2 linked regions of the Neurospora crassa OR74A genome follow. The protein of the gene in region 1 interacts with the protein of each later gene in a pairwise test. Links are inferred from orthologs where the notes say so. Each region holds a gene or a part of one and is shown in the gene's direction. Other genes may lie near its edges.

Region 1 (5,651 bases):
TTGCAGCATCTCCTTGCGCTGCGGTTCCTCATCCGAAATGTCATAAAGGTCGTCAAATTCCGTCACATCAGTCATGGCGCTTGATCGTTTATTATTCCATGCTCCCGAAGAAGGGTTGGAAGATGAAGTCTCTGAACTTGTGTCGTCGGCATCCGTGTCCGGCCCGCGGTAGCTCGAAATGCACGACGGTGTTGCCGGCAGGATCGGGGCGGCAAGGAAATGGAGGCCCCGTGGCGTAGGGAAATGGTCACTCAAGGGAGAAAAAGGGGCAAGCCACTGCTCGATCTTTTGGTTGACTGGCCAGTTGCTGCTGCTGCTGTTGTTGTTCTGGATGTTGAAGTGTCTCCTTTGCTCCTGCTGCGGTGTCTCGGTATCGGTCTGTTCAGGTTCCTCCATTATAGGATTAAGAGTCCGGGCCATCCTCCGCCTGCCCTGCGGGGAGGGTGGCCGGTATGTAGTGCTGGGCAAAATCAGAAGGTCCGACATGATGTTGGTGTCGTGGTAATATGGGGTCGCTCTGATATTGATTAAAAAGTCTGGAAATAGAGCTGACCGGGAAAATGGAATGACGCCGGCGTCGATGCGAATGCAACAGTAAGACGAAGAGTATGGAAATGGGGGGTTAAACGATGGACCGGCTTCGGTCAACGAAGCTCTATTCCTGTATTGGCGCAGAAAGGTATAAGAAGAGAATGGAGATCTAAACAGGACTGCTCAACGCAGCCGGTCTGGGCCACGCGATATTATAAAAGACAAAAAGATGGATGGATGGTCAGGTGCGTGATGGCGACGGCAGGGTCCACTTGGACTGTCTGTCCGCTGATTCCCACCACAGCGGCTAGCACGCTCTCTAGCACCATATGAAAGCCGGATTCCCGCTGATATTGCCCCATGTCCTCCCATATTGCGCCGCCGTTGTCGCCTGTTGACGTGACTCTGGCGGCCGGGCCCTGGCAGTCGGCGAGACTTGGCTTCGCTCTTCCCAGTGTCTCACAGGACGAGCTTGGGGTTGGGCAGCACCAAGAATTCGAGATAGCCGGTTGACGAGGGTGGGAGAAAACTGTGCGACCGAATCAGGTTGCGCAGAAGGTCGACCAAGAAGAATCCGGCGAACCAAGCGTGCCATGACAAGACAAGGCGCGCGCCAATGGGGCCTGTTCATCGACAGCGTTGCAGAGAATACGACCAATGACATGGTAGGGAGCGACGCCGGCACCCAGCTGGGCGCTTAAAATATCGAGCCATCCTCCATGATTGGGTTTCTCTCCTATCCTCCACCAGATTCTGCTAGTGCAGACTCCAAACGGGTACACTCTCCAACCTCTAGGATTCCCAAACAGGTCAGCATGAATGATTGCATTGAAGATGGGGAACCGCAGACGGTGAAGGGTTGCAGACACCGCAAAATCGTAAAGCAACGAAAGCCACGCTAGGTAACACGGCCCCTTGCATTCGTGATCTACAAACCTAGAGATCGACGTAACCCTGGATCCCGTTGATGGTGCAGCCGAGGATCACTGAGAGGAACTGAGGCGGTGTCGTGAAAAGCTCGAATTGTTGGCCTGGGAGGAAAAAAAAAAAGAAAAAAAAGTAAATCTCGATCGACAGATATTACCCCTTCCCATCAATCGAATGGGAGCTTCGGGAGATCACTCCACCATGATGTTGAATCGGCGCATTCGGGATACAGTAGAGAGGTCATACTTTGATATTTACCTAGTTTGATCTGCTGGTCGAGTAGTGTAGGTGATGACTTGGTGATGAGAACGCTGGCGCCCCAAGAAACTCCACACTTGGGGTTCATAGTCTCTTCACCTGTGATTTGACAAATCGTTCACTTTCGACGTGTCCGGACCGCGCATCCGACCATATGCTAGGTGGCATCCGTATCGGCAGCCAACTCCGTGTCCGATGCGGTGCGGTGTAGGAGGCTGGAAGCCGGCGAAGGAAATGTCAGTTCATGGGAAAGTGGAAGTGATGCGCACCCGTCTGTGGCAGTGGCAGCGGCGGTAATAGGAAAGATTGCGGCTGCAGTCGGGCTCGGCGGCTATTTCAAAGACGCACAGACCTTCCCCGGACTTTGAAGAGCTTGGCGCTGTCAGGTATGGAGCACAATATCAAACCCGCAAGTGGTCTGTGCCTGTTCTCCAACTGGCCCACGTTGTCGTCACGGCAAGGGCCCAGGCACCTCAGTGCCTTTCGAATGTGCCCCGCCATGCCCGAGACGAAAGAGAACTAAGCCCCGCAACTATCAATCGCGAACGCCCCCAGCAGCGATAAGGAGGGGCAAGTGCAACAACAACAGAAGCTATCCCGTCCATGATCCGCTTTCGTCGCATGCCTATCCGCTTCCTGGAACGAAACATCACTTTTTTGCGGCGCAACTAGATCTACAAACATCCATTACCAGATATCAGAGAACAACGACAGAGTTGTAGATTCTATACTTTCGACTCGTACCTCACCTATAGCGCCTATTTCCTCCACAGATCCAGCCATGACCGCACTCACAGGACGTCCTGTTGTCTATTGCGGTGGTAAGTAGTCACATGCAATGCTTGCGCTCTCTTCCAAATCGAACCGCTGCCCTATTATCGAACCCTGCGCTGACCATTCCCTCTTTGAATTCCAGTATGCTCCCTGCCGCCCGAGGTATGATACTATTCCCCTTTACCGTCCATCCGTCCCTCGAACCCCCCGACCCGTAGCAAAGACCGACAACTACATACTCACCAACCCATCACCGTCCCCGAATTTTAGTACTGCGAATACGGTGGAACCGTCAAAAAGTGCCAGCAATGGCTTGAGAAGAACCAACCAACCATGTACTCAAGGATATGGTCGCCTGAGGTGCTCGAGGCGGAGATGGCATCGCTGTCAGTCGAGGCGCAGGAGCGCGCCATGAAGGACGCGAAGAAGAAGGCAGCCAAGGCCGAGGCGGCGGAGCAGAAGCAGGCCGACAAGCGCGCCAACAGCGTAGTGACCATCAAGCGCATTGAGCGCAACAAGAGGAAATACGTCACTTCGGTGTCGGGCTTGGAGGCGTTTGGGTTGGAGTTAAAGAAGGTACGGTTATACTTTTGCCCGCAAGCCAAGCTTACATGCTGGCTAGCTAGCTAGCTCGCCTACCTACGGGCTGCTAGCTATACATGTATCATGGTGGTGATGCTGGAAGAGCGATCGCTAACTTAATCCTGTTTAACCTGCAATAGGTTGCCAAGGACTTTGGCAAGAAGTTCGCTACCGGCTCTTCGGTAACCAAGGTACCCAGCGGCGGCGAGGAGATTGTCGTCCAGGGCGATGTCAGCGGCGAGATTGAGGAGTTCATCCTCGAAAAGTACAAGGAGGTTCCCGAAGACAACATAGAACTCGTGGAAGACAAGAAGAAGAAGAAGGGCGAAGGAAACTAGTTGTTCCGACTTGACTTTGAATTCTAAAAGACTGCGGAGGCGCGCCTAAAGCAGGTGGGAGTTAATGATTAAGTTTGGTTGATATCACAAGGCTATTCGGATGGTATTGGCTATTCCGCTTGAGATCGAGGGGGAAAAGGCTTTTGACGCTGTAAGTAGCGAAAGACAAAAGCGATAAATGATAACATTACTTGGAGTCGCCATGTCCCAACTGTTCCCTGAAACCTGCCAGACCTAATAACGCCGAACTCTGTGAAGCCGACACCTGGCGGCGGTCGTAACATCTATACAATCCAACGCCTAACAATAACAATGCCAATCCCACAGTGCACAACCTGGATGGACATCCTCCAAGTCCATACCCCAGCAATGAAAAAACTGATGACACTCGATAATTCAAACAAAAGTTCAAACCCGCTCATCCCCTCTTTCGCAACACCCTCCCCGACACAGCCGGCGCCGCCGTATTAGCGACCACCTTCTCTGCCGCTTCCTTCGTCCCACCACCCGCCGCCTTCTTCGTCGCGGCCATACCCTTTTTGATCGTGCTGATGACACCTCTCTTCGCACTAGCCGCCGTTCCAGATGCCATGCCCGTCGCCGTCGCCGGTCGCTGTCTCCGCGCCGCCGCCGATGACGTACTGCTAGCCTCACTAGACACGCTGGCGCCACTAATTCTCCGCGATGTCCGTGTGGTAGCAGAAGCCGCAGATGTGGTTGCCGCTCTAGCTCTGGATTTTGCTGCGCTCGCTTGCGTTGCTTCCGTTGTTGTTGAGTGCTTCTGGGGGCTGTTCGCTCGCGATCGCGCCTTTTCGACCATGTTGCTGATGAGAGTAGATGCACTCGTGCCGGCTGTGGGTTTGGTTGGGGAAATTGGGCGTGCGCCGATACCGGTCGGATAGTGTTGTTTCGTAGGTGATGGGGTGCGCTCCCCTCGTGGTGCTAGGCGCGAGTTGGAGGATGTGGGCGAGAGGACTTGGTTGGAGTGGTTGCGCAAGATGTCGGCTGCTGGGCCGAGACGTTGTCGTTTCTCCGTGTTCATGGGTTCGATTTCGTAATTTTCTTTGTCGCGACCGGAAACTTCATGGCTAGGGTTGGATGATGTTGATACTGACGGCGTCCATTTCCCCTGGGAAGAAGAAAAGGGGACTAACCTTGTCGTCTTGATCGGGCTGGGCCGTATCGGAGAGGTAAGTCTAGAAGCAATCGCTGGTCGCTGGAAGATGGGGCGTGATGATGTCGCATCTTTCGGTGGTACCGGGGGGCCGTTAGATGTAGTCGTGGTCTTTTGTTGCTGTTCGGTAGAGTATTTTTGTATGAGATCGCCCATCTTCACTTTGCGAAGGGACATGGGAATGCGGTTGACGCGAATTTCGATGCGGGTTCGAAGACTTTGCGCATGGATGTCGTAGTTGGCCCGCAGCTTGCGAGCGCGTTCGGTGACTACACATATGTTAGTCGGCCACGCGCATCGTCACTGGCTTGTTAGGGGTATAAACTCACGCTCGAGTTGCAAGTTGTCAATCAGCGCTTGTTTTTGCGCCGCCGTAATTCCTGTTCGCCTCTTCTTCTTTGCGGGACTTTCGCTGCCATGTGGTCGTCCGTTTTCCATTGTACTTTTGTCAAGCGACGGCACCGCGAGGCCAGTGTTGTTCTTGTCGTCAGGAACATCGGCCTCGTCCGACCTGCGTTTCGCGCCGGTGGTTGGAGACATGGTCGCCGTAGATCGAATGATTGTAACTCTGTCAGCTATGACTTTGGGCTTTCGAGGAGATTGGCGAGAAATCGTTAGCGGAAGAAAGTGTCTGTATGTTTCAATCGGCGTATTCTTGATGGATGAGCGAGTCGAAGTGTGTTGCAGGTTGAATTGAATGGTACGCTGTGCTGTGAGTGGTTGACAATTCCTGGAGTAAACAAACCAAAGCACTGACCACTCAAGACTCGCTAGACACACGGGGGGCGTCGTACTGCAGCAGCTCCAGGTCACTGACATAACGAACTCAGCGGTACGTACAACTCCACCTGATAGCGTAACGGCAGCTACGCGGGCAGCTAGGCTGAACCGCCTTACGCAGGAGCTCCCCAACCGCTGTCACTGAACATCATCTTTCCATCAGAACACCAACCATCTTTCCCACTAATCCAACCTTTCCTATACCAACCACAAGCAACGCTTCGATTTCCTTACCAAATTGCATATAACTGCGACATTCATCGATAATTTACAGTCGAACAGACACC
Region 2 (5,268 bases), on another chromosome or scaffold:
GTGAGGGTCGAGAGGGTGAAAGACACGCCCTATGCAATAAGTTGATGGTTAGCGATCGAAAACTCAATCAGCCAGCGTGCGATAAAGTGAATTTAAGTCCTAAGCTCGATTCTTCAATTATGTTCCTCAGTGACATGGTATTAGAAAAGACGAGTGCCGAAATAGTAACAATTGTCCCAGCAGCGGAAAAGAAGAAGCGCGGGAGAGATAGACGTACTGTTAGGAGCCCGAGGGACACAGTCCCTACAAACTTGAGGACGGAAACGCCTCTCGTAGTCATAATGGCGACAGCGAAACCGATGATGCGCGGGGCTGCTTTGGGAGGAAAGTCAATGTGAGATGGAGATGGTTGGTTTACGGGGTGTCGAGTCAAGAGATGTCAAAGGCAAAATCCGAGTCCAGCTTCCTCAGCTTGGAAAGTGAAGTGGGGGATCACATTAGGTGCTACGCTATGTACACTATCGTCCGCACAGAGGTCCCGCAGCATGCGATTGCGGGCAGTCAGTCCCACCGTGACCGTCATGGCCGCACGGCAACACCCAGCTTTCATCACAGGTGTCAGCCAGTCCCGTTCTCCCGGCCACACGCGGGCTGCCACCTGACGACAGGTCACCTCGATCAAGATCAATGCTGTTCAGTTTACCACATCTTTGTTCACCTTCGGAACTCTTTTCCCGTGTGGCTTGACACTCGAGTCCTTTCAACTTGACTGTTTGGAAACTTCCGGCCGTTAAGGTGGCAGAAGCCGAAAAGCAGCATGGACCACAACGAAGCAGCAGTTCCCCATCGTGTTGCGTCATTGTGAAGCTTCAGCTCCCCCATATTCGATCGACATGGCATGCTAGGCCCTAACCCTGACTGCATGTTGAAACATCCGGCCATCAGACGGAACAAAAGAGAAGAACTCGACAACATTTACCCTTGAATGACTCGAGATAATCGACCTCTTCTCTCACGAATAACTTTGGGAGAAAATAAAGAGGAACCATCTAGGTCTTCACTTTAAGCCGGCTGTCTTGGACAAGCCATCAAGTGTTGAAGATCATGCGCTGTCATGTGAACTGATGTTGTGTACCTCGCACCCCTCGGCGGCACTTTTGCCAGATGGTTTACCCAGTACAATCGGCCCTCGTTTATAAGTACTTCTTCTGACCATAACTATCACATACGACCATAGATGGTAGAAAACTCGGGATCCCGTCCGCTCTCCCATAGATAAGCTACCAATCGCCTGACTAGTAGTTGGGTCGGTGACGACCAGCGAATCCCAGGTGTTGTATGTCTTTTTTCCCATTCTCGTAGATATCTTTTTGCTTTCGCTGCTGTAGCACATTGATTTCTTGCACCAATGTGCACCGGCATATGTTTGAAGCGCCCGGGGGGGGAGACAGCATGGGTTATTGACAGTGGGCTCGAGAAAAAGACCCTTGTCCACTGAGACGCCGAGCTTGTTCTCCTGACCTTGACCTACCAGTACGCAAATTCAGTTACGAATCCGATCGATAATGTGTCGAAGGATACTACTAGTGTAGGTTTTCGGGTTGACGCGTGTTGCTGGAACCAAATTCAACGAGAGTCTGTGAGCGCAGGACGGAGCTGAGTTCACAGTTTGTTCTGATCAGACACACCAACTATATGTAAGCCTCACAGCTTCACACCACAGCCCATTTTGTCCCCGTGACCAAGGTGGCTTAGCGATAAGTTCAGGTTGCTACGTCATCACCTTGGCTTCCAGCACACTGAGGGGAAGTTCAAGTGTCGGGTCTCTATATAAGGAACCACAACAAAAACAACTAACATCAACATCTCACGTTATGCCCAAGACACTTGCACACTAAGAAAATTTGAAATAATACAAGACAATATTACTTCAACACAAGAACTTGATCAACTTTGACACTACGCATATCCGACAAAATGCCTCTCGTTGTTCCCGGCGTTACCACCAACGACCCCACGGTCCAGAAGACGGAGGAGTGGATGAACAAGTTGTGCGGCAAGACGCTCGCTGACCACACTTCGGAGACTGTAAGAACATCCCCTGTTGAGAATGGCAAGACAGAGATGGTGTCCAAGCATGGAAGCTGACCCTCTTCCTTTTCCCTTCTGCCTACAGACCTTCTGCAAGTCCGATCTCCCAAAGCAAACCCGCATCATCGAGCCGGGTTCGATGGTCACGAAAGACTTTAACCCTGACCGTCTCAACGTACATGTCGGCGATGATGGGAAGGTCAGCCACGTTGTCCACGGTTAAGGGGGAACAAAGAGCGGTGATGGAATGGCTATACCAGGCTTGAGGATATCATGGCATGACGTGGAGTTGCGAAGCGAGCGAGTTAATGAGTTATGGAGATACCAGCATGACGCTGTGTTTAACGAATGCGATGAATTCATCTATAGTACCATCCTGCCATAACTCATTGTGAGTACCTTGACGGCTGACGATAGAGGCCGTTGCCCCGGAGACCCTTTGTATCCATGTCCTTATCGTCGTCGACCGTCCCCTCTATCGGCTGCGCTATGACGACACCCCCTGGTCGCCGGCTGCTTTGGCGCGGCTGTTGACTGCTGCACAGATCGCAGCAGGACGGTCTTGGCAGATCGAGGTCGGGTCCCCACCTTCGACTTCTTCCCCTCCCCCGCCATGAATCGCCTTGGCCGTCGCGAGCGTCGCCTATGTATCGCCAGCTTCATTGATTCCAGCGAGGAGCACTTTGTTTTCATTGTTCACCTCACTTAGCAACACACACATCCCAGCTTGACGGTCCCTACATCAAGACTCGCCAAAACGACGAGCACGAACTCCACATATACATATCTGATATACTATACAACCACATATAATTTTCCAAGGTCGCAAAGTCGCAAATACCGCCACAATGTTCAAGAAGGAGTATGCCATCCACCACTCTGAACATACCTTCACCTGCCCTCCTTTGCCATATTCCCTTACCAACGTCACTCTACTGCCCGCCCGCCGTTACACCACCTCTCCAACATCCGCTAACTCTTCTCTCGTAACAGCATCACCCCCTCGCCCAAACAAAAGCTCAAATCCTCGATCCAGCGCAACTTGCGCCAGTCGCTGCTGACCACCTACCCGCTCCTGACCCCTCACATCGACGACATCATCCCCAAGAAGGCCTCGCTCGAGCAGATCAAGCTTCCCGACCGCGTGTCGCTGTACGTCATTGATGGAACCACCCCGCTCTTCTTCCAGGCCGACACGCCCTCGCAACAAAACACCATTGTGCCCCACCTCAAGCTCGTCCACCGCTTCCCGCAATGCTTCCCCACCATCAGGATAGATCGCGGCGCCATCCGCTTCGTTTTGAGTGGCGCCACCCTGATGGCCCCCGGCCTGACGAGCAAGGGCGGCCGCCTGCCGCAGCCGCATGAGAGGCCGCCGAGGGAGAAGAGCGCTGCCGAGGCCGAGAACGACGAGATCGAGGTGCCCAATGAGGGCGCTGATGAGGAAGGACACTGGAGTCGTGAGCTGGAGAAGGGCGAACCTGTTGTCGTCCTGGCTGAGGGCAAGGAGGAGGCTTGCGCCGTTGGAGTGCTGGTTGCGGGGACCAAGGAGATCAAGGAGAAGGGCAAGGGCCCGGTGATCGAGGAGGCGCATTTCCTTGGTGACGGTCTCTGGAGGATGGCGCTGGATTAAATAATACATGGAGGATGTTTGCGAAGGAAAACAGAAAAAAGTGTCGAATGTGTGGAGGAAGGGGGTTTCCCACCACCTACAAAGCGTTTTTGGAGCCGGGCATAAGAAGCAGCATGGTTTTGAGTTAAACAGTGGACATATGATCAGGTTAAGGGTTTATCTTTTCTCCCTGGTTTATGTGTTTTCCGCTCCGTTTCCTTTCTGATCTGTTTTGCTGTTCGTGTGTTAAGTGGATTTCAAGGCCACGGTGGTGGTGTTTGCTACACTTCGGGGAGCTGATCAATCATCAACAATCGATACCGTTACTGAGGTCAGGAAAGAGCAAGCGCTTTGTCTTGACTTGACTAAAGCACCTCGGCTGTATACCAGTTTTTCTTTGTCTTGTGTTTCTTAGCAGTCCCCCGATGTTCCCACCTTATCCTCCCGAGTTTTGTAATCCTTAACTTGTCTCCCTCTTATTGAAATTATCTCCATAGCATTGCATGGAGGATGTCAGTTCCAGTCTCACGATTTTAAGCGCACTACATGCTTACTTTTTAGTTTTTATCTCGACGGAACGACAACCCCCAGCGATGACAGCACGTTAAACTCCAACAACAACAACAACGGCCTTGGTCTTGGAAAAATGTCAGCCAGCGAATCGATAGACACTACGCCCGCCATCAACCCACGAGCGACATTCAGTTTTTCAACCTCTTGCTTATCAATATTCCGAAGGCATAGTGCCCCAACTCGTCCGAACCTGGTAATGGACTCATGACTGTTCCAGCGCGGGAGAGGCTATGCGTCACCACCTATTTACCTTCTCTTCCGACTCGGCATCATCGATAACTAACTTCACTGGAGGTAACCTCCCTGACTTTATGGTCAACCAGATATGCGGATGGAAAGGACGAATCGAGTCACTTGCCCTTACCTCCTGATCAATGGAAGGCGATCAGTATATCTGACATATAGGAGTACTTGGATTAGCGATCTCTCGATTAAAGCATGACTTCAAAACACGAGCCGCAACACCAGAAACGGTACGCCACACCATACAATACAAGGTTGTCAGTTGCTCCCGCATCGTGTTATCCCAATTTCTCTCGTCAGGTTTTCTTCTTCTTCTTCTATTCTTTTTTTCACATTCCTCATTTAAATCAATTTTTCTTCTCCAATTTTTTTTTCCCCCTCAATCAGCGGATGAGATATCTCTTAGGGCCATTCGAATAAACATTCTGGAGCCTACGTCGAAGAGCTTCGACTAGGTGTGGGCCAGATGGACGGATAGGTGTACATGCATGTTCACAGCGGGGAGAGGGAGGTGGATTCTCGTTTGAAAGATCACGGTCATATTCACGTTTCACAATAGGTTCAGTTTTGGGGACTTTGCGTTTTGTTTTTAGTCGGATCTCGTGTATTGATCCTAACATATGGGCGTTGTGGTGGTGACTTCATTGCAGAAAAGTACCGGAGCGTTGCGTGAACGATAATCGCAGACCATCACCACCTCTCTTCCAATTTCCTCCCTTCCACGCTGTGTCTTGGCTTGCTTGCTTGCTTGCTTCGTTGAGCTTCAGAGTCCATCTCTGCCAGAAGCCTTCTCTGCCCCTCCTCCTCCT

The links. The genes of interacting proteins can lie anywhere in the genome.
Region 2: the proteins of NCU02984 (region 1) and NCU08678 interact in binary tests that used the Saccharomyces cerevisiae proteins (3 or more experiments, as listed by UniProt). The link is inferred for Neurospora crassa OR74A from reciprocal best matches to the Saccharomyces cerevisiae genes TMA22 and TMA20.

The regions. Positions count from the first base shown.
Region 1 is NC_026501.1:8,504,637-8,510,287, forward strand, and holds NCU02984 (translation machinery-associated protein 22), read left to right. Parts: upstream 1-2,163; 5' UTR 2,164-2,497; coding exon 2,498-2,537; intron 2,538-2,632; coding exon 2,633-2,652; intron 2,653-2,760; coding exon 2,761-3,066; intron 3,067-3,212; coding exon 3,213-3,410; 3' UTR 3,411-3,828; downstream 3,829-5,651. Other genes in the region: NCU02988 (hypothetical protein), read right to left, coding at 1-486; NCU02983 (hypothetical protein), read right to left, coding at 3,829-4,853, 4,914-5,124.
Region 2 is NC_026504.1:4,135,859-4,141,126, reverse strand, and holds NCU08678 (translation machinery-associated protein 20), read left to right. Parts: upstream 1-2,611; 5' UTR 2,612-2,879; coding exon 2,880-2,893; intron 2,894-3,024; coding exon 3,025-3,664; 3' UTR 3,665-4,259; downstream 4,260-5,268. Other genes in the region: NCU08676 (hypothetical protein), read right to left, coding at 1-29, 218-280; NCU08677 (hypothetical protein), read left to right, coding at 1,918-2,028, 2,117-2,254. UniProt on the Saccharomyces cerevisiae protein: Involved in translation.